3 separate regions of the Mus musculus genome follow, and all the other regions are reported to be linked to region 1. Evidence: microRNA targets listed by miRTarBase, many of them from high-throughput screens and not tested one by one. Region 1 holds a microRNA gene; each other region holds the end of a gene's coding sequence.
Evidence for each region. The annotated mature microRNA mmu-miR-34b-5p reads AGGCAGUGUAAUUAGCUGAUUGU and lies in region 1 at 2,892-2,914, opposite strand. An mRNA with a match to its seed (bases 2 to 7 or 8) in the 3' UTR can be bound and repressed. Matches are read on the target gene's strand: a 7mer-m8 pairs with bases 2 to 8, a 7mer-A1 pairs with bases 2 to 7 and ends in A, and an 8mer does both.

Region 2: the mRNA of Pi4kb is a reported target of mmu-miR-34b-5p. Seed matches in the 3' UTR shown: 7mer-m8 at 1,831-1,837.
Region 3: miRTarBase lists Nav1 as a target of mmu-miR-34b-5p. Seed matches in the 3' UTR shown: 8mer at 4,712-4,719, 7mer-m8 at 2,944-2,950, 7mer-m8 at 2,228-2,234 and 7mer-m8 at 580-586.

Annotation. Positions count from the first base shown.
Region 1 is chr9:51,100,719-51,108,331 of GRCm38, forward strand. It overlaps Mir34b (microRNA 34b), which reads right to left and starts at 2,927; the gene lies at 2,844-2,927. It overlaps Mir34c (microRNA 34c), which reads right to left and starts at 2,392; the gene lies at 2,316-2,392. It overlaps Hoatz (HOATZ cilia and flagella associated protein), which reads right to left and starts at 1,360. Exons shown (of 6, transcript NM_177702.4): 1 at 1,027-1,360; 2 at 336-374. The coding sequence starts at 1,252. It also overlaps a transcript of Btg4 not described here.
Region 2 is chr3:95,004,368-95,011,980 of GRCm38, forward strand. It overlaps Pi4kb (phosphatidylinositol 4-kinase beta), which reads left to right. Exons shown (of 11, transcript NM_175356.3): 9 at 1-5; 10 at 267-387; 11 at 1,392-2,570. The coding sequence ends at 1,573. It overlaps Zfp687 (zinc finger protein 687), which reads right to left. Exons shown (of 9, transcript NM_001357863.1): 2 at 5,978-7,613; 3 at 5,677-5,855; 4 at 4,976-5,152; 5 at 4,709-4,871; 6 at 4,218-4,550; 7 at 4,013-4,125; 8 at 3,705-3,846; 9 at 2,223-3,599. The coding sequence ends at 3,108. Among named protein-coding and RNA genes, the nearest start is that of Mir7013, 4.0 kb to the left of the region's middle.
Region 3 is chr1:135,436,484-135,444,096 of GRCm38, forward strand. Nav1 (neuron navigator 1) reads right to left here. Exons shown (of 30, transcript NM_173437.2): 29 at 7,151-7,348; 30 at 1-5,296. The coding sequence ends at 5,201. Among named protein-coding and RNA genes, the nearest start is that of Ipo9, 9.8 kb to the left of the region's middle.

The DNA of each region.
Region 1 (7,613 bases):
TGGAGAGAAAGTGCCTGTGGGACCAGGGATGCTGGGGAGAAAGTGCCTGTGGGACCAGGGATGCTGGAGAGAAAGTGCCTGTGGGGTCAGGGATGCTGGGGAGAAAGTGCCTGTGGGACCAGGGATGCTGGAGAGAAAGTGCCTGTGGGGTCAGGGATGCTGGGGAGAAAGTGCCTGTAGAGTCAGAAAGTTATCTTCTGGGTGAGTATGTGAGCCCTGAAGCAAGGTGTGGGATATGCAGCTTAGTTATATCACAGTGTAAATGTATACTTCTAGGAATTCTAAGATAATCTGGGGAGTCTACATATAAAAAGGCATTAAAACTTGATACTTACTGTCCTGATCAAAGGGAAAGGGCTGGACAGAACTTTTCTCTAAGAAATACAAATGAAGAGAAAGTTATTGGAAAAGCTGACATGAACAGTATTTTAATTTCATATACCTATTAATATTGAATAAGAACACTTTATACATCCTTGGCCCGAAGGCTTGTCAGTCAGGAAACAGGGTTCCTAAATTAGACTCTGCCAACAACTTTTTCTTGGGCTTTTAAATTTGAATTCAATTTTATGTAAATGCTTTCCTAATCTAAGCACCATTTCCTTAGATTAACCCATCCTCTTTGCCAAATAAAAGCCATCATTTAAGGGACTCTTAGAATTTTTTTTTTTTTTTAAGATTTTCATTTTATTTATGTGAGTACACTGTAGCTGTCTTCAGACACACCAGAAGAGGGCATCAGGTCCCATTACAGACGGTTGTGAGCCACCATGTGGTTGCTGGGAATTGAACTCAGGACCTCTGGAAAGCAGTCAGTGCTCTTAACTGCTGAGCCATTTCTCCAGCTCTAGAATGAATTTATATGTAACAATGAGATCCTTTACAGTGGAGAATTGCAGCAGTTTTAGAATTGTTTGTGTATTTGCATATACCTATTACTGCCTGTTTCTGCTTGTTTGTACTTCTCAATTGACTGACAATTAGACCAGGCAGTTTCCCCTTCCAGGAGGTAGCCTTGCTACTCACCTCTCAGAACGACTTTAGAGTTCCGCGCCACCGGTAGCCTCTGACTGCTGCCTCGGGTCAGCACGAGCTGAGATTCGGTAGTGGGGTACATGGACGCCCCGAGCCAAAACTGCTTAGCCAAATTGGCATCCTGCTCAGAGCAGCCGGTGAACACCAGTAATCCAGGGGAGCAGATTTCCTGGGATTCCTTCCTGCCGCTAGGACAGCCTCTGGGCCCCGTTTCCATGGTGACTCAGGACGCTTTCCTTAGCTCTGGCGTCCCGCCCCTACCGGAGAACCGTCCTGTTGGTAACTGCCACCACCGGAATGCCTGTGTTTCTTCTTCCGTAGATCTGGGGTTCCTCGAGGGCTTGTGGCCCATCAGCAGCTGGCTTCTGTCGAGGTCACAATTTTCGGGGCCAGTCAAGCCTTAAGAGTAAAAGCCTCAACTTTGTGATGTGTACAGTCCTGGACTGTCTCTTAGATCCTCAGCCAGCGTCTCCTCCTCCCCCAGATAGCCCAATAATGTGAGCTTTAAAGAGCGCCTTCCTCTTTTGGACAAGATTGCCAAGGCTTCGCACTCTTACCTCTGGGGAAATTCTCAGGTTTGCATTGATACATCTGCATAAAGCGCTAATCTAGAACTGGGCCGAGAAGTACCGGTGGATACAGCTTGTGTGATTTAAAACCTCTCAAATCTTTTATTACAGATATTAGGAAACCAGCTGGTTTTAAATCGTGTTCACTAATTATTCCCACGAAAAGTTGCCTAGAACGCAACTGTTAATACCTTAAAAAATATACCTGGTTAAGTGGGCTGAGTTCCCTTGCCCCATGGAAAATTATGAAAACATTTAACGTTCCCTTCCAGGTCACAATCATGTGTGAGACGTTTCCCTGGAGATTTTGTCTGTATAGCAACTAACCATTTAATGACTTTACGGGGTTGACAGGAGCTGAAATGGAGATCCTAAAGCCAGTTTTTGGAAAGGAAATGAACACGATTGCTGAGATTTTCGTGGCGCTTTATTTTTTAGAGTGTTATTAATATGTCAGGCAAAGTCCAAAGATTTATAATCACAAGTCAATATAATGACCAAATCAGCTAAGGGATAATTTCTATTTTTCCAATATATCTAAAAATCACAAAAAATGTACCCCACACAAATTGATACATTGTATACTTAGCAGCTAAGGGCTAGCGGTTCCCCCCCCCCCCCCAAACCACTAATAGTATGGTAAGAATATTTCCCTATGGCTCTGTCCTCACCAAAATGACGATTCACAGGAGGCTCAGTCGGAGGAATTTCAGTCTTTTTACCTGGCTGTGTGGTTAGTGATTGGTACTATTAGCAATCAGCTAACTACACTGCCTAGTAACTAGACTCAGAAAAAAGCATGCAGTCTTTAGCTGGTGCTCTCAGACTTTGGTGTGACCAGAGCAAATCGTCAGCCAAGCTGTGGTTGACTCTAGTCGCTGCCTTGGTGATAGCTTTCTCAGAAGTGGAAATCAGGCAGTGAATCACAGCAGCAGCAGGAACTGTTCTGGGGGGGGGGGGGGGGGGGCTCTTCCTGGCCTTTTTTTTTTTTTTTTTTTTTATGTTAAGGCCGGTGTATACCGATTCTCTTTACACATCACTGAACCGTTTTTGCTCTGGCTCTTACACACAGGTAGCCGAACGGTCCCTAAAGGAGGCCGCCGGTCTCCGAGGGTTACTTGCACTTAGACCTCGTGCTCCCGGCCCTTTGCTGACGCATCCTGGCTCCGGCCTCGGCTTTCTGCGGAGTCAGTGGGGCTGCAGCGCTGGCTTCTCCTCCCGCGGGCGGCGGGTGATGCTGTGCCTTGTTTTGATGGCAGTGGAGTTAGTGATTGTCAGCACCGCACTACAATCAGCTAATTACACTGCCTACAAACCGAGCACCGGGCGCCCGCCACTGCAGCTCCCGAGGGTCGGGCCCCTCGCCCCCTTTCGCCACGGTCGACAGGCGAGGGCGGCGGAGCGAGAGGTGCCTCAGGCTCCCGAGGCCCCTCCACACCCAGCAGGGCCGCGCGCGACCCCAGGTGAACCCCCAGGCGCTGAGGCCCCCTGTCCCCGCCGTCCCCCCCGAGACCCCCGACTCAGCCCGGACCCCAGGGCATCCGGCCCGAGTCCTTCTTCCCGCAAGCCGGGTCTGACCCGCCTCCAACAACTTCTTCACGGCTTCCAGACCCAAGTCTAGAGCCGGTTCTGTCCAGCCCGCGCGCCCCGCAGCTCCTACTGGCCGAGTGACCGTGGCTCAGCGACCAACCGCCCTTGGAACCCCGAGGCCGAGGGGGCGGGGCGAGTGGGGGAGGGGTGGCAGAAGCTACCAGAAGGGGCAATGGGAGGGCTCCTGCAGAGCCTCCTGGGAAGGGGCCGGGGAGATGGAGAGACAGATTCTTGAGAAGTTTATCTTCACAGTGTAGTTACTGCTACATCGAAGAAAGAAGCGCAGAGACCTACATCCATCTCTCCTTCCCAATATATTGCCCAAGAAGCCCCAGGCCTCCTCACTGTTCATATGCCCATTCTCAGAAACCGCTTCCCAGGCGTCTCATCTGGAGCCTTCCTGCCTGAGCAGGCCTGGGCACTCATACCTGCAGGATTGCCCTTGCCTGTACCCAAGTTCTTTCTTAGGACTACCTCTTACAGGGCCATACAGTGAAGTGTGGGCCACTCTTCTGGTCAAACATTGAACCAACACCCTTGTTGGTAGGTCAAAGTTGTGGCCCTTATAAGATCAAAGACACAGTTTTGATGATCTCCCCGTGAGCCTTGAGGATATCTAGTCTCACTTTGGGCTCCTGTTTTATTTAAATGTTACAAATCCAGCACCTAACAGGCGTTTGTCTTACTACCCATCAGACAGTCTAGGTGGTAACAAAATGTGAACACATTATTTATTACTCCAGACAGTATAAAGTTGCTAAACTGATAGATTTTCCTAATAGAAAAAAACAGGTATGGGTGGGGGTGGGAGGTGTGCCAACAAGAGCTGACAGACACCATCATGGAGGAGGTGAGAGTTCAGGTAGATCCTTGAAGCAAGGGTAGATTTGGACATTAAGGATGAGGTCTGTAGAAGCCCGAGAAGCCATATCTTCTGTCAGTTACATTCCCCTTGTTTTTGCTATTTTATATCTGATAACGGGGTGCGTGTTTGTGTATATTGGGAATAGGAGGCGCTGAGGGGACAGCATTTCTGCGCCATCTTCACTAATATTTCTTTCCTTTAGTCTTTCCTCTCCTTTCCTTTAATTAATTGAGCCCAGAGAGGATATACAGTATTCTCTGATTGCAAACTTTGTGGAATTCAGTAGGAAGTAGCCGTCCCAGACTGTGGTCTTCCTGTATGCTGTATGACACCCATTTGTATTGATCCAACAGTCTTGCAGTCTACAAAGGGACATTTCTTAGCTATACACTGATACCTGTAAGCCCAGCAAATGGTCTTGTAGATGCCACTAATTACATGAATATATGCCAATCATCAGGAACATTCAACACAAATTCCAAGTGGAAACCATTAAAACCCAAGAACTTCCCAAGAATAAACTTGTGTATATTTTAACATTATCTTTGAAAGTAAAAGACAATGTTTTTTTCCTTCAGAGTCATTGTTTTATGAAGGCTTAAGTGAAAGGAAAATGAAGTAGAAAATGCCAGATTATTATAAAATTAACTTATGAAAGACATTTGTAAATAACTATCTTGTATTCAGTCTTCTTGTATTTGAGAAAAGTATAATGTATCCTACAAAAGGTCATTTAAACGTTCAAATATAAATAAAAGTAGTAGAAATAGCCTCCATCCCATAAACACTATGAAGAGTTACAAGTTTTAGGAGGACATCATTAAAAAATCATTTATTTTGCATTTTGCTCAATTTCACTCCATGTGTCATGCTTCCACCCAGCTTAGGGATTTTCTCTATTAGTAGCATCTTAAATATCTTACCTGAGTTTTATTGCTTCCATCCAAAGCTATCATTGCATAAACTGTCTTGAAATTTAGACTAAATTTTTTTCTTCAATGATAAAAAGTAAAATGATGAAAAAAAAATGCGTGTGCCCTAGTTCTGTTAGAAAGCAACAATAGAAAAGAATGTCTGTTCTTAGGGTTGCTGTTGATCCTGCCCACAGTTACTAGAGAAACTCCAAGGATCTTATTGCATCTGCTGGTCATGCCTAGGCATGTCTAGAGACCAGGGAGACTCATGTTTTAATCTAAGTAAGAATGCCTGTGGTGTGGTTAAAATGCCCAAGCAGACCATTACATTTGGTTAGATAGATCCAGGAAGGCACCTTGAGGAGGAGCTGTTTACTGCTTTAATTTCTGGGTTTTTGTTGATCTGGGAGATGGGGTAGGACCTTTGAGGAGATGGGTTGATAGTATTGACCGGAAGGAAACCATGAAAAGTATCAAAAACAAGAACTTCCTGCGTGAATCTGACAAATTTATCTTGACTTAATTTATGACTCCTGTAAAAGGGCCATCGAGAGATGACTTCCTCCTGTCAGTACACACAGCACATCGTCTGTACACGTCCTCTTTGTTTTTAGATAGGGACTCAATTAGCTCAGGCTGGCCTTGAGCTCTTGTTCTTCTTGATACAACCTCCCAGTTGCAGGCTATTTCTGCAGCATTTGAAGGTTCTTGTTAGGGAGGAAAGAATGAAGGACACTAATTAGAAAGCAATGATCTTTAGCCACTTCTTTTAAAACATTTCAAAAATGCATACTTTCCTAGGAAATAAAACCATGCATTTTTTTATGCAGACTATCAAATGTCAGATGACCATATTAATATTCACGATAGTATGCTTAGGAACTAGTTTATAAGTTGAAGCAAGGCTGAGTTGAAGTCAATTTAGCCCTTGAATAATTACAAATCAATGAATCTGTTTAATCATAGTGGGTTGTCATCTGAGCTAGAATGAACTGCCAGCAGCTCTATACCTCTGGTTTCAACTCAATGAACTCTCATTAGGAAAAGTTCTCAATTAGCTTCTTGTTTCCATTTCTCAATTAACCAATAGTTTTGCTTTCAGTATCAAATGTTAATTTACTTTTTTAGGAACAATCTAACAAAAATAGCTTCCTAGTTAAGGTTGATGGAGCTCTTACTCCAGAAACAATTCTTGTCTATTTCTCATCTCTAGGGAACAACAGTCTCCAGAGATGTGGTTTAATTGGAGGGATAGACAGTTTGTTTGTATAGATAATTAATATAGTTAAATTATGTTAATCATATTAATGCATCATAATATTAATATATAAATTATTATATTAATGCATAAAATGTTTAGATAATATATTTATATCACATAAAATATATTGAATGTCTAAGTACTTAGATTACTAAGTGCTTAAGAAATCTTGAATTCGAGTGCTGTTATTGTTAACATTTGGGGAAAACATAATTAAAAAGCACCAAAATATGGGACAAAAATAGGGCTATATAGAAAAAAAAACCAGCATTGACTGAATTATAGTAGGAGGTAGGCATGAGAGACTAGAAACGTTAGCGTAGGGAGTTTGAATATCATTCTGGCTCTCGGAGAGCCCCTGATGCCTACAAAGTGTATGTTGTTTTATGGGGATTAAAGTATCATGGATTACAGAGGGGGCTGAGCTTCAATGTAGGAGATGATTTTTAACAGATGCACATATGGAATGATAGAGGAAATACAGAATAAGGGATTTTGTGAAAGAAAATGTTTAGGACTTGATGTCTGATTAACCATTTAACAAGATCAGCTGCTAACTCCAGGGACAAATTTGAGGAGCTGAGGGAAACAGAATCAGAGGATGTTTATAACGAGTTGAGTTTGGGTCTAAGCAAGGCTGGGTTTGGGCTATGGATGAACATCATAATGAAGGTAAGTATTTAAACTGGAATTCTGGAAAGAAGTCAGAATTAAGAAGAGGGATTAGCAGTTTTCTGAAACTGTGAAAATTAAATCAAAGAGTTGAACAAAGTCCATGAAGGGTGTGGTAGCTTATTCTTGCTTGTTATAGTTCTTTCAGGAAGGAGGAAGTAAGTGACCAACAGTGGAATGCCCTCCTCTCCTTTTTAATCCTGGAATGGAACCCAGATACATGTTAAGTAGATGGTTTTCTCCAAGGTGCACGTAGACAGATGAACTTCCCTGACTGTAGACTGGCTCCTGCCACTTTAAGCAGATCTCAAGTAGATTTCCTGGTTTGTAAAAGTAATTTTGGGGTTTCAGAGTAGCTAGCTGGTTGTCTGAGTGTGTTGCTGAAGAGTTCATTTTCCTTAAGAGGTCCTAGTAGGTATTCTTAAGTCTGTGAAGCCCAAATAGGAAGCTACCTGTCAACTAATCTATTTGCAAGCATGCAATCAGTGTCTGCCTTTCTCAGAGGCGTCACTTTGTGCACAGTTATTCATTGCAGTTGTTTTTACTGTCCTCATTGAGCACTTAAGACTTCTTGATTCCTGTATCGAGCGTGCATATAGTTTAACAATTATACAACTCATTTCTTTATTTTCTCTAACTCATAACGTGTATCTCAAGGATTTCATTGTGTTTATATTTAGCTGAACTTATGTTGTCTCCTCCCCTCT
Region 2 (7,613 bases), not on the chromosome of region 1:
TGGATGTGAGTCAAAAAAGAGAGGTGCTTCCAAGGGTAACTGTGTTCTTCCTCTGAGAGGAGCTGATGGACTCCCCCAAATTAGGAACAGAACAGAAATGGCAATAAGTCAAGACGAGGCAGGATTGCCTGGGAGCTTATGAAAGAAAATGTGGAGATAGTGATAAGGAAATTTACCATGATTACCTTAAGAGAGGAAGCTCTGAGGCCTACAGAAAGGACCCACCAGAATTTCTCTGTGCACACAGACACTCTCCTTGCTTCCAGGTAATGGGTGGCCTGAACGGTGATATGTTCAACTACTACAAGATGCTCATGCTGCAAGGGCTGATTGCTGCTCGGAAGCACATGGACAAGGTGGTACAGATTGTGGAGATCATGCAGCAAGGTGTGGCTCAGGAGGGCCCTGGCCTGGGGGACTCAGGTTGGGTTGCCTGCACTTAGAACTTTTAGGAAGTTGAACTCCACCTCAAGACTTAGGTGGGGGAACATTTCTCAGGGGGTCTCCATTTCCCCTTTAAAACATTCTTCACCCTGGCAGAACTGGTTTTGGGGGTGGGGCAGGAGAAAAGGAACAGCAGAAAGCTCTTAGGTATCCTCATGGGGAAACAGCCACTTTCAGCCTCCTGGCTTTCCCATTCTCCCATTCAATTGTATTTCTCAGTCTTCTTCCTTCTCTGCTACTTCTACTCACTTCTCTCCCATCACACTTGGCCTGACTGACCTGACCTCGGCCACTACCACTTCCTACTAACCTCTGCTGCTCTCATTTTTCCTGCCTCTCTTTTCTTTCACTTTGCCTCTTCCTTGGTCCCTCAGTTTTTTTGCACAGGACTCCCTCCTCTTCCAGTTCCTCTGGGACCCTTCTATCCCCCCCACCCCAGATATTTACCCTACCTAAGCTGCCAGTCTCCTCCTCCCCATCCTTGCCCCTACCCCACAGGTTGCCGTCGTTGCTCGGGAGCATCTCTGTCTGGCCCCGTGGTGACGGTGGCCCAGGTCATCTGTGAGTGTCTGATCTAGCATAGGCAGAGGCCTGCAACCAGATAAGTGCAGGGCCCATTCCCAGAGGCTCTTCCCAGCCTTCCCTCTGGGCCCAAAGACATCTCTCCAATGCTTACTGGGGGAAGTTGTGGGCTGGCTTGCCTTTTCCTATCATGCCCACATACTCTTCCTACAGAGAAACTAAGGAGTATGGGATGAGGACTGAGGACGGACTAAAAACAAGGCTTCCTGATTGCTTTTCTCTGCACAAGCAAAATTGCTCTGTACCATCAAGGATCCCAGTGGTGGGGAGGGAAGGGGTACTCTAGCTCTTTTCCTTGTGGCCACTAACTACTGGGCTGCCTTCCTAATTGTCTATGACCCTTAATTTCCACTGCTTCCCCCCAGGTTCTCAGCTTCCTTGCTTCCATGGCTCCAGCACCATTCGCAACCTCAAAGAGAGGTTCCACATGAGCATGACTGAGGAGCAGCTGCAGCTGCTGGTGGAGCAGATGGTGGACGGCAGCATGAGGTCCATCACCACCAAACTCTACGATGGCTTCCAGTACCTCACCAATGGCATCATGTGACACCATTTTCAGGCCTAGAAGTGGTGGGACTGAAGGCATCCTCCTTAGAAGGACCCTTGCCTAAGAAAACCCAAATCACAAAACCCCACCTACCTAACCACCTACCCAAGGGAAATGGAAGGCAAGAAATACAAAGGATCATGTGGTAACCATGAGAGCTTGCCAGAGGGTAGGAGAGCCAACCTTGGGGTCCAGACTTGCTGGGGCTTCCCCACCTCTTGCTGTGTCAGTATTACCACCTGACAGATCCCAGGACTCACTGCCCTCCAGAGAACAGAGGTGATGAACATGAGGAGGACTGGAGTCTTCTTCCCCTCAGGGGTCTCAGAGGTTTTCTACAAACCATCTTTTATTTTCCCTGGGTCCCAGTAAACTGGGAGGAGTAGGTTCTTGGTACTTAGGACTTAATCCTATGTTTGGCCATGCTGCTGCCTAACTCAGTCCCCTCCTGGGGGCTGACCCCTGGCCCACATTCCCGACAAGTGGGTCCTGCACTTGCTGAGGTCCCCATCATGGGGGTAAGGAAGGGAGAACTGACAAAACCCTCTGATGTATTGAGGGTACTGGCTTAGCCATGGGGAAATTTCTTACCCTGATCCTTTCCTCACATCCAGGGAAACAGCTTTTTTTTTTTTTTTTTTTTTTTTTTAATTTTTGTTTGAAATAAAATCCTTAGTTAGCCATCTGTCTTGTTGCTTCTGGGGGAGGAGTGCTTGGAAAGGGTTAAGTCCAGCATACAAAAGGCACCAAACACACAAGATGAAGGAAGATTGCTTTTTCCATCTGTCTTCGTCAATACTGCCTCTTCCCTGAGAAGGGCTTCCCCAGTTCTGACTCGCCCCTCCCTATGAGTACACATTATCCAACTCACATAAAAAGAAAAGCCTGAATGGGGATTAAACCACAAGCAGTTTTAATGGTCTGGTTTTCTCCCTCCTGTTTCTCCCACTGTTAGTATTACTACTACTACAAGAATAAAGGATTCCTGAGAGCCTGTCCTCTCCTCTCCCTGGAACCTACTTGACAGGACTCATCCCCACCAACCCCCCACCCCTAAATTTCTGGGGGAAAAGACAAATGGAAGGCACTGCAGGGATTGGGGTGGGGGTGTTAGTGCCAATGAGTGTTGGAGGAGGGGATACTAGGACAGAACCCAGCCCAGAAGAAGAAATACTGGTCTGTGCCTGAAGAACTCTAGTAGAGGGGTAGAAGCTAGACCCTGTACATCCTTCAGTCCATCCCTATGCCTGTCTAGCAGGCTTGCCAAGGTCCCCTCCCCCCTCCCCCCACAGTTACTGGGAGTCTGCAGCAGGAGCATTAGTGTTGGATTCAGAAAGGAAAAAGAAGGCCCACTTAAGTAGAACCTAGGGGCCAAACCCTAGAGGGAAGGGGGTGCAAGTCACTAGAATCCTCAAAAGCCTGTCCCTCAGGGATAGAGAAAGAAGTAAATGTTAAACTCCCAGCCCAGGGAGGTGACAGCAGCAGTGAAACCCAAGTCCCAGGGAAGAGGCCTGGTCAGTCTGAGGCTGGGGACCTAGTTGTCCCCACTGCCTCCCTGCCGGGCCCTGATGAATGCCATGCCATGCGTGCGGAAATGGGTCTTGAGGTTTAGAGGGCTGTCACAGCTCTTGCCACAGACCTTACAAGTCAGAGGGTCTCCAGGAGCAGGCAAAGGTGAGTCTCCACCCTCTGGGTCAGAGCGTAAAGGAGGAGCTGCTTCTTCCCCATCCCCCAGCCCCAGGACACTGGCCTTACCCCCGGCCCGTCTCTTCTTGTGGCTAATGAACCGGTGGCGGCTCAGGGAACCAGGGGAAGCAAAGCACAAGCCACAGTCAAGGCACTGCTGAGTGCCACCATCCACCCTCAACCCCACAAGGCTCTGTTCTGCTGAGCCACTGCTTCTATAGCGCAGAGGACCGTGGCCTCCTGACCCAGGGCCACCCCTCAGGGACTTGGCTGGTGGTGTTGTACTGTCAGGCTCCTCACTGCATGAGTCAGAAGACTGGCGGCGTTTCCGTCCTGGCCCCTGGAGAAAAGTGGAAGACACCGGGCCTCACCATCACCCTGGTTTCCTGAGACCAAGGTCTCACTAGTTTCTCAATCCCATGACATAAGGAAGGCCTTTTCTTACCTGGGCTCTGCCACCAGAGCCTCGAGCCAGGGAGCCTCCTCGGCCAGAAGACTGGGTCCCAAGAGGCAAGCCGTGCCGGACCTGAACATGCTTCTCCAGGATCAGGCGACTACTGAAGGTGCGCTTTCCCTCTGTACAATACCTAGCAGAGGTAAAGTGGGCAAGATGGCACCAGAGGCACATGCAAAGACCAAGACCCATAGCTCTTGAGAGAAGGAAGGCTACCACAGCAGAAGGTGGCCTCAAGCTTCAGATCCCTCAAAGAGACAGGTAGCCAGGTACTCTGCGAGGGAATGAGTAAGGGTTACCTGCATGGGTAAACTCGCTTGATTCCCTCATGGTTGACCCTGACATGGCGCCTCAGGCTTGGGGCAGAGCAAAAGGAGCGCTCACACAGGCGACAGGGGAACTTTTTCACTGACTAGAAAGCAAAGGGTGGAAACTTTCAGTCACTCAGGTCAACCCCAAGGCTACTTTCCAGTCCCACCTTTCCCAGAGTAAAACCCAGCTCACCTTACCATGTTCCTTCTTCATGTGAGTCACATACTCGTCACGCTCAGGACACCAGGAGTGACAAAGGCCACAAGTCCAGCCCCCAGGCCCCCCACCCCCACCTTTGATGCCTTTGTTTCCCAGTTCTCCTCGTCGGGCTCTTTTGGTTGGTCGGGGTGGCTCAGGGGAGCTAGGCAGCTCCTCTTCAGAAGATGAGGAAGACTCCTCAGTAGCAGGGGCTGCCTCTGCCTGAGACACAGCCAGCTCCTCAGGCTCAGTCTTGGGGGTCAAAAGGGCACCTCCAGCCCCTTTCCCAACTGCCTCTTCCCCCACACGTCCAGACTGGTGAGTGTTCTATAAGAAGACAAGGAAGATGGCTAGGTGGAAGAGAGCCTGGCTTTGCCAAAGTCCTCACTTCACCCCTGCTCCCCACTGCCAGAGGGTTCTCTGACCCCAGGTCAGGTCAGCACAGCTAGCCAGTAGCCATTCCCTAGCCTTTGTTCCTCCTGTACCTTGAGATGCTCCAGCATGGTTCTTTTTTGGGCAAAAAGCAGAGGACAAGACGGGCACTTAAAGACACTGACACGCTGGGGCAGTAAGTGCTGGTCAAAGTGTGAGGAGAGGAGGGGTTTGTGAGTGAAGACCGTATCACACATGGCACACTTATAGATCAGCCTGTGGGGGCAGAAGGGTCAGTATAAACATGGGTGATAGCAGTCCACCACCCTCCACCTCTTCACCAATCTACCTCACCACCATGCTCCCTCCCCAGGTCTCACTTGGCTTGCTGGGTGAGGAAGCTTGGATGCTGGGAGTAGAGGTGGGCATGGGCGCTGGGTGCAGACTTGAAGGCCATGGGGCAGATGGGGCACTTGTGGAAAACTTCGCAGTGTGATGCCTGGATGTGGGACTTGATGGAGTTCACACCCCCAAACACCACTGCACAGCTAGGGCACCTTGGAGAGGAAGTGGGAGATACGACAGTGAGGTAGGGGCATCTCAAGCACCACTCTTGTTCTTGAAGACAAGGAAAATTTCAAAAGGAAATCAACAAAGGAGCATGAGCAAGACAGAGGAAGGAAGGAGGCTCAGTCCCCAAGAGAGGTCTGAGAAGGCAGAGCTGGGATTCCACCTGGGACCCTGCTCTCCACTGTTCCCATAATGCATACTTGATAGCAGGAGGGGTAGGGTGTGTCAACACAATAGGAAAAATGATGGTTCTCCTTGAGAAGCCATCTAAAAAGATTACTGCTGGGTTGGAAAGATGGCTTAGTGGTCAAGAGCACTGACTGCTCTTCTGGAGGTCCCCAGCAATCACGTGGCGGCTCACAACCATCTGTAATGAGATCTGATGCCTTCTTCTGCTGTGTCTAAAGACAACTACAGTGTACTCACATTAAATAAATAAATAAATCTTTAAAATAAATTACTGCTAACAAACAGATCCTAAAGCTCTAATGAGGAGTTGAGCATGAGGCACCTGTATCCTACACGGCGAGAGAAATGCAGACAGGCCTCTCGAAGATGGGTCTGAAAATTAGCTTGTAGGAAGTTACCCCCACACTCGGGACACACATGGGGGGCTCGATTCTTATGTGTGCGCTGGTGGGCACTGAAGCTGCAGCGATTGGGGAGCATCATGGGGCAGGACGGACACACCTGTCAAGAGGTTAAACAAGGTCAATTAATGAGGGGTGCCCTGTACCTATTACTTTGAATTTTCACCTCCATAGAATCTGGCTGTCCCTTCCCCAAGAGAAGAAAAATGAAAAACAACTCACATTGCTGGTAGACCCGAGTGCAGGAGGGCCCAGCTGCTGGAAATGGGCTGCCATGCCAGCCTTGTCCCGGCACTGCTCTTTGCACTCCAGACAGCGAAAGCACGTGTAAACAGAGGCAGTAGGGGGAGCAGGGGGCTCTGTTGGGAGTGGCAGCACAGGAGCTTCAGTGGCAACTGTAGTGATGGTAGAGGAAGTGACAGCCCCCTCCCCCTTGCCCAAAACAGGCAAGGCCAAAGGTCCAGGAACAGGTGGGACAGCCACAGGCAGCAAGGGTGTGATGTCTGGCTGCCCCACCATCTGGTCAAGGGCTACAGGCCTCATGACCAAATGTGAGCACTGCATGACAAGCCCCTTGTCCTTGTGCTCACGGGCATGCAGAAGCAGGCTACACTTGTTGAAGAAAACCAGGCGACGGGCACAGTGGTTACAGGTGACCTCTATACGCATGCTCCTTCGATCATAGTGCCGTGCCAGGCTCTTCTCCAGAGAGAAGGCATCTCCACACTCAAGGCAGCGGTAGCCTGTTGGAGGCAGGGCCAGACCAGCCTCAGCTGGCGGACTCAGGTTTGGTCTATAAGCAGGCAGCAGGTTCTTGCTGTTGAGGATCTTGTTGAAGGCCTCTACCAGACTGGACTGGGTTCGGGAGATCACCGAGCCACCTGCTGTGCCTGGCCCAGTAGCAGACTTGGAAGGCTGTACCATCACCACTGAGGCACCATTTACCTTCTGCCCCCCAAGGCTAAACCCTGTCCGTACCTCAGCCTTGGGCAGAGTTTGGGGCACCAGACCTAACACACTCTTAGTCATAGTTTTGGGGCTGGTGGCATTCCCCCCTGGTAGAACCACAGCTTTGCGGGCTACACTGGCTGCCATGAGCATGGCAGTGCTGGCATTCTGGATGGTGGCCACAGGCAGCACTGTACCTTTCAGCCTCGTGCCATCACCCAATTGGACACTCACCACCTTTGGACCTTCGGGGGTTGGAGTTACAGGGGACAGTTTCAGGAAGCTAGTCTCGGCCAGGAAAGCCCCCTCGGCCAAAGGGGCAGGAGGATCGGGTTCTGAGGGGACCCGGGTTACAGTTCTTGTGATATTCCCACAGGATGTTTTAATAGTCTTGATCCGCACCTTGAGGGGCCTAGAAGAGCTGGAGGAGGTAGGGGAATCATTGCTGTCCTCATCTGCAGCCTCAGCTCCACTAGAGGGACTCTGGGGACTTCTTGGGGGAGACTTGTCCACTGTTCCCTCATCTTCTTCCTTCAGGGGTTTACAGCTGGGTGCCTTGACAGGGGAAGCAGGAGGACTCTGGTGTCCTGGAGACTGCTTGAAGGACACCCCAGCCACCTGCGGGGGAGAGACACTGGCAGGGATGCCTGCTGTCTCGGGGCTGGAGCCTGGGCCTCTCTGGGTTAGGCCCTGGGAATGGTGAGGGCTGCAGCTTTCCTGTTTCAAGGCCCCTTGAGGCAAGAGTGAAGCAGGAGGAAGCAGGGTTGAGCCATTTTCTGGGGCCAGTTCAAAAGGAGTGGAGAAAGGAGGTGGGGCCATGTCACCACCCCGAGGTTGGGAAGGTTCTGGAGGTAGGGGATCTGGGTGGTCTCCTGGTTCAGACCCAAAATGAGCAAAGAGGTCCAAGCAT
Region 3 (7,613 bases), not on the chromosome of region 1:
TAAATCTGGATTAGAGCCTGGGAAATTTATCCCTAACGCATTTATTCCTACATTCTGCTGTTGCTTGTCTGAAAACATCCATCTAGTGCCACCACTGTATGGATTGAAAGGCTGAATCAAGAACCAGAGGTTCCCCTTCTAGGATCACGTTGGAGAATGTTCCCTGTGACATAATCATTAAGGAAAACAGCCAGAATGTTAAACCGGAATGGACTAGCATAAATAGGTGAACCTCTTTTTTTTTTTTTTTTTTTTTTTTTTTTGGTTTTTGGTTTGTTTTGTTTTTGTTTTTCGAGACAGGGTTTCTCTGTATAGCTCTGGCTGTCCTGGAACTCACTCTGTAGACCAGGGTGGTCTCAAACTCAGAAATCCACCTGCCTCTGCCTCCCAAGTGCTGAGATTAAAGGCATGTACCACCATGCCAGGCTGTAGGTAAACCTTTTAAATGTCGTTTTCTCCCTGCGGTTTCCAAAGTTCAACTGCTCCTTTTCCTTCTGAACTCTGCTGCTTTCCAGTTTAGTCTATCTTCCCTAGAACAGCACGTGCTTCCAGGGCTAGAGTGTATACCAGTGTATCCTGGGCAGTGGGGAGAGCCAAGCTGGTGGCCCAGTTATCCCTGAGCAGGTTGAAGATTGATAAGGCTGATTCAGTGATGAAGAACAACGTCTTCAGGCTTTGGCCATTTGTAACACATTTTTGGGCCTCCTTGTTGGGAACTGTCATGTATAGTTCTTACTACAGAGTGTATTATAGCTGAGCCCAGTGATGCAGGCTGAAATGCCAATTACTTGAGAGGTGTGTGTGTGTGTGATCATCAAATTCAAAGCTTGCTTGGAATATTTACTGAATTCAGAGCCATTATGGACAACTTAGTATAAAGGCTAGAGAGAAAGCTCAGTGGTGGGTACTTGCTGAGTGTTATGAGAAACCCTAGAGTCAATACCCAACAGTTGAAGGAAAAACAAGGTACCAACAGCTGTTGGTGCATCCATCCTATCCATCTCTATTAGCCAACCTGTTGTTACAGCCATTTCAGTTCTTACCACGGGGGCTGTTGGCTCACGGAGCCAGTTTACCAGCTTCGATTTAGCTAGTGCACAGGACTATGGGAAGGAAGGCTACAGAATGAGAAGGGTCTTTGATTAACCATCTGAGTCACTTTAACTCTGGAACCCTGGATTAGATTTGTGATCAGCACAACTTCCTCTCCCAAACCCCTATGCCATAAAAAAGATCATTAATGTCATTTGGATCACCTCATCAGGCATGTGTCCTCTGTGCCCAGGCTGGCTGCTGGGAATGGGTTCCATCTGGGGTGATGGAAGGTGGTGTGAGAGCCTAACTACTTTTCTGGAATAGGACAGGAAACAAGAGTTCATCCTCAGAGTCCTGGAAGGGGGTGGCACTCCTGTGAATAGCATGACTCATCTTTGAGAGCCATCAGGAAGGAGATGGGTACATGAAGTCCACATCGACTCTTGTAAACTAGAAAAACCACACGGCACAAAATGAAAAGGGGAGGAAAAAAATCATTATTTTGTCTTATGTCCATCAGAATAGACAGATTAGAAGGTTGGTAACTCAAGACCCAAATGTTTACCAACCAAGAAAGTTTTCTTGTGGGCTCTCTCCATGATCTTTTACCCCCTTCTCCTTCCTTGCCAGCCTCTACCTTCCAAATGATTAGACTACATGAAAGACACTGGAATAAGGATTTACAGAGACAGAAACAAGCACCAACGAGTTACCAGAAAGCAGGTATCAAAAATAATGTTCCACAGAGCCCCAGAAGATAACAACAAACTGCTCGTGTGTAAGAGAGAAGGACAGAGACAGAAAAATGCACAGACATCAGGTCCCTTAGCAGCCTCCAATACCTAGAGTATTTTATTTTAGTGCTTAGGCAGGGACTGAGAAACAAACACATTGAACACAACTTATTGGTCTTCATCCCCAAGTGCAAGGGACTCTGGCGAGCCTCTCCTGGAGCTGAGGCCCTCCAAAGGTTGTTGTTCTTCACCAGCCAACTTTGGTGAGGGATGGAATCAGGAGTTGGAAGGAAAGGGAATAGCAAAAGTTGCAGAATTAAGATAGATTGCATTCTTCTGAAGGTGCCTGGAGATTGTGGGACCCAGTTTTTCCTTTCTGAGGAGTCCTAGGAGTCTCAACCAAGAAGTGTGTAGGTTGGGAGGACTGCTGCGGCTTTGCTCTTTGCCATGGATTCTTAGGCAGTGAGGAGGAGCTCAGGCTTTTTGCTTCTTAGAAGTCTGGATGAGCATCCCGAGGGGTTATAGCACCATGAGGAGGCTCAACCTTCCGAAATTGCCACCGAACCATGATCCCTTTTTTTTTTCTTTTTTTTTTGAGATGGTTGATCCTACTGTGAGGGGCCCAGATGTGCAACTGTAAACAGGGTCCCAGGCTCCAGAAGGAAAGTGTAGGCTTCGAGAGCACTTCACTAGATGGGAACGCACTTCCTGGAGGACAGCTATTTGAGGCCTGAACTAAATGCAGCAGTCAACTGAGAGAAGAGGGTGGTGGATCCCAGGAATAGAAATGAAGTCAAAGTATGCGAGGCCTCCAGAATCAACTTGCTGCAGACCCAAATAAAATTCTCGATGGTATCCATAGTTACCACAGAGACACTCTCTCTGTAGTCTGAGGCAGTTGGAATGGAAGAAGGCATTTCCTACTTTCCTTCTTCTTAAGTAGCCAGTAACATCCGTGTCAGAAGGCACTGGCTGGGCAGCACCAGAAAAAGAGGGTGAAAGGCTCAAGCGTTAGGATGTTAGCAAAAGTCTGAGCCTTGCCATGTACTGGAGCTTTGGATAGGGTTCAGAAGAGACCTATGTCCAAAGTAGGCCTATCCAGTCTTCCCTTCCTTCTAAGTTGGAACACCCAGCTCTGGGGGGGCCTTCTCATTCTGCACAGCAAAGACCTTAAGGCAGTGATTTCAGCACCATCCTCGGACAGTCAGCCTCTTCCCACCACAGAATTGCATATTTTGCAGCTGAGTTGGGGATCTTCACAGCTCGTGGAATTAGCAGCAGTAGCAATAACAGTCTCCAGAATAGAGGACCCTGTCATCCCTGGGGCTACCAGGTGAATATAGAAGCTTTTGCCGGGGGTGGATGGGTACAAAAGGGACAAGCTAGACCTTCTTGAGGATCTAAATGAAAATAGACTATTAAGAGTCAGGGGCACGTAATTCCTTGGTTGGGTGGAACAATGGCCCAGGTTAGTTTGCCTAAAGAATCTTGGTATAGATTCTGGTACGTCGTGTGCTACTAAGGAACCTGAAGAGCGTATTCTCAGGTCCAGACGTATAGTATATATCCCTGCACTGCAGAGCGCTAACACATTAGCCCATGAGGCAGCTCAACCTGGAATTTGGTTCCACTGGTTTCCAGAAATGACAGAAGTAGATTTTCCCACTCAAGACAAGCAAGATTCCACAGTTCTTCAGGCTTCATTTAAACTGATCCCCAACCTTCTGCCTACAACATATTGGAGATCTAACCAAAGGCTTCTTTTAATTGACTCCTTGGCCTTCACCTGCATCTCTCAGATGATTTTCAAGGTCCAGATAATAAAGGGATGGTTACTTAAAGGAGATTAACATTGCCTCCTAGACCTTGAACTTAAGGACCAAGTCTTGTCTTTTTTAAAAACGTAGTGACTGGTACTCGGTTAAATACTCAGTAAGTACTTGTCAAATGAAGGAGTGTGGGTTAGGAAGAGGGCAACTTCTGCAAGACGTAGATCTCTTTGGAAGGCAGATATTGGCCACCAAGTCAAACTCTTTGAGCCTTTTATTCTGATCTGAAGCAGGTCACACGGTTGCTCCATCTCCTATAAGTGACTATTCATCTGTCAAAAACAAATAATAAGGGCTAGCTAGGGAATCTTGATTCAGTCAGGCAAAGTGGCTACCATCCAAATAGTGCAGTGAGGGCCCTAACAGGCCATAAGACAGGCAGGTGTTTCCAGTATTTTGGTTTTCCTCCCAGTCCGAGATGAAGCTCGGGGTAGATCTACCATGCTGGAGGACGGCAGTTGAGCTTCCAGGTAGAACATGTGCTTTCTCAAAAGGAACCAAAGAGACTGAGTTCTTCTTCTCTTACTATTATGAGCCAATGTTTCTTGTCCCATGTAAGCCCCAAGGATGCCAGGGACAGTGGCATGGGAGGTGTCTAACTTGTACCAATATTATAGAATTAAATTCTCCAAAGAAAACCCACTTGGAAAGCAAAACTATCCCCTGGAAGGAAACCCAAGTATCTTATTGATGTGAGGAAACTGGAGGTGAGGGACAAATAAATAGGCAAATGGAAGGAAAAAATAGAAATAAAAATTTAAAAATTAAAAAGTAGGGTTTATTGACTTTTCATGCATGTTCAGTTAGAGGGCAGAAAGACAGCTTGTGGCCTTTCTTCGAAGGCTGTGATGTTACTCTTGTGGTCTGGTGACGTTTTAGACTGGCAGCCATCTTGCAATGTCCCCTCTTGTCATCCAGAAGGCAAGATCTGGCAGCTCTCGTTCCATCTTGGCAACTGGGCCCCTCCTTCCAGCTTCATCTTTTCCATTGCCGTTTTTACCTTCTACAGGTTGATTTACACATATATTTTTTGTTTTGTTTTGTTTTGTTTTTCTGTTAAACCACATGCTTCTCTTTTCTTGGCTCTGGCCAGGTCTCTGGCGGGGAGGTTGTTGGCAGTGTCGACAGAACTGGGAAGGGTTTGCAAGAAAGTCTGTAGAGCTTCCTGCCTCCCTTAGATTTGCCCACATGTGACTGTCTCAGAGGTGTTTGTGAGAACGAGCTTGGAACTGCTGTAGTTGGTTTGTTTGTTTTTGTTTGTCTGTTTATATCTTCCGAATCCCTCCCCAGAAAGCCCAAGAGTTTGTAGGTGAAACAAAACTTGAAGAAAAGACCAGAATCATCTTTTCTCCTAAGTCGTAAGAGGAGGCCAGCAAATGTAGTTAAGGGGCACGGAGTTCTCAAACTCCACCCCCTCCAATTCCTAGTAGGAAGTTCTCAAAGGTTCAGCACCGAGAACCCATCCCTCCTCCTGCCCTCTTCTTCCCTCCTGTTCTCTTGGCGAGGCTGGTGAGCCAGAGCTATGAAGGAAGAGGGCAGAGGAGAGCTAATGATGCTGAAGCCAGCCTTCTGCCCTCCAGGGTGACAGTGACTGCCGGGCCCTCAGAGTGTCGCCTGGAGGTTGGGGTCCAGGATAGTCTCTCGATCTGGTGACTCAATGTAGTTGGCAGCTTCTTGGAGTTTCAGTAGCATGGCCATCTAAAAAGAGGCAGACATGGGTGAATGCAGAGGGGGGTGCTAGGTCCTGCCTACAGGGAAACCCAACCCAACCCAACCCAACCCAACCCAACCCAACCAACCAAACCCTATAATCCTGTATCATCATGGGTCTGATCCTTGGTGTGTCTAAGAACATGGAGTTTAGAGATGGTTCATAAAGAAGTGACAACTGCTTCAATCCTGATTGTAACCCATGCACACGAACCATCCCCTGGGATACCTTTGTTATAAGAGCTGTCATGGGTGCAGAGGATACCAAAGAACAATACTTCCCAAGTTTCAAGATGCAGTCCAGGGAATGCTGGTCCATACCTACCAGCTTATACCGGGAGTACTGAGAGAAGCGCTGTAATTGGCCCTGGACTCTTGGAATTCCCTTGCAGTAGATTATACCCCAACAGCTAGGCTCTGTGCTATCCCCAGACACTGTGTCAAGTCTACCACCACCTCAGGGTACTCCTCTGCCCCTCCCTTTTATAGTTCAAGCTTCAGCTAAGTGAGCCTGGTTGGTGCTACTCACACAACTGGCGGGCTCTTCTGTCTATGTTATTCATCAGTCTTCCAACCAAAAAGTGTCCTGACATAGAGGACAGCTGTTTTCAAGGAAGTCAACATTTAAGTAAAACTATATTATGACTCCATTGGAATTATTCCCTACCGGAAAGGTGCAATGACAAGATCAACTGATTTGTGTGTGTTAAGTTTCATTGCATTCTGCTAACTTACCCTTTAACATGGTTTTAGTAATGGACATCCCCACAGTGGAGTAGGAAAGTCTGCGCTTCAGACACTCTGTCTATTACCAATGTAAAGGGGCAGTTCCTTGACTTAATTTGCATTTCCTCATTGTTAGACAGGTTGGAGATCTTATGTCCTTATGTCACCTGTATTTCCTCTAAACAAATGTCTCTTGTAGCTCTCACTCGGTCTTTGGTTTATAAGCTGTTTTTTTCTTCATGTAATTTACATTTATTTTTTTATTTTGTGTGTGTGTGTGTGTGTGTGTGTGTGTGTGTGTGTGTGTGTGAGAGAGAGAGAGACGCAGGTGAATGTGGCTGTGCACGAGCCATGTCATACAAGTGGAGGTCAATGGACAACTTTTGGGAGTCATTTCTCTCCTGAAACTGGATGTCAGCTTTGTGTGACAAATTCTTTTACCTGTTGAGCCATTTTGCTAGCCCTGAGAGCATCTTTTTACTTTACATATTGAAGATGCTAACTGTTTTGGCTAGATCCATTGAAGTATCTCCCCCTAGCTTACATTTAACAGACTCTATGCAGCTGATGAAATCTCAGCTGAATATCAGGGGAGGCAGAAGGGAAAGGGCTACAGCCCTTACAGTGCTATTTCCTTGGTTGATCAGAGTGTCTACATTTTTAATTTTTATTATTTTTAATTGTGTGTGTCTGCATGTAGGTATGTCCATGTGAACACAGTGCCCACACAGGTCAGCTGTGTCAGATCCCCGCAGAGCTGGAGTCCTAAGCTTAGATGTGTAATGAAGACTGAATCTGTGTTCTCTGCAAGAGCAGCAAATGCTTGCTTGTAAGAGCCGAGCCACCTCTCTAGCCTTTCTTTGGTCTATTTTCTTACACAGACTGCCTGAAACTTGGGTCTTGGCTAGAATATATTTTCCCAAATGTGTTGTTTGGCTTCAGCTAGGATGCAGGCATGAGGTCAACCCAAGAATCCTGATACTCAGAGTTCCTCGCTGGCCTCACTCTGGTCCTGGCTTTGCTGAAACCCTTCAATGCCTGAGCCCCATCAGCACATACGAAGAGTGGATGACCTCAGTTCTGTAATCCTCTGTGACTCTTTTTTAGAGGACTCACCAGGGGATCTGAGTCGAGGGAGTTTGGAGTGCTGTCTTTGACTGTCCTGTCCTCCGGGGGTGAGGCAGTGCTGTGGGGGCCCACAGAAGGCGGGGGCAGGTGGTAGAGCTTTGATTGGTCTTGTTGGGCCGACGGCCAGGGAAGAGTGTCTCGGACCCATTCCACCGGGTCTTCCCAAGCAGCTTTCTGTCCATGAACCTGGAGAGGAAAAAAACATGAACAATGAGAGGGGCGACAGAATGGAAGCTTACTATGTAGTCTCGCGGTGTTTCATAAAAAATACGGTCCCTGGAAATACATCCTTCCTTAAACAGAAAGACTTGAGATTTGCATCTATGTGGTTGAACTTCCCACAAAAGAAAACAAGTTGGTATAAACTTCCAGAAAAATTAAGAATAATTTCTCATATTGTCTTAAAGGTTTGTTTAGAGGTAGGGTTTCTAAAAACAAACAAACAAACAAA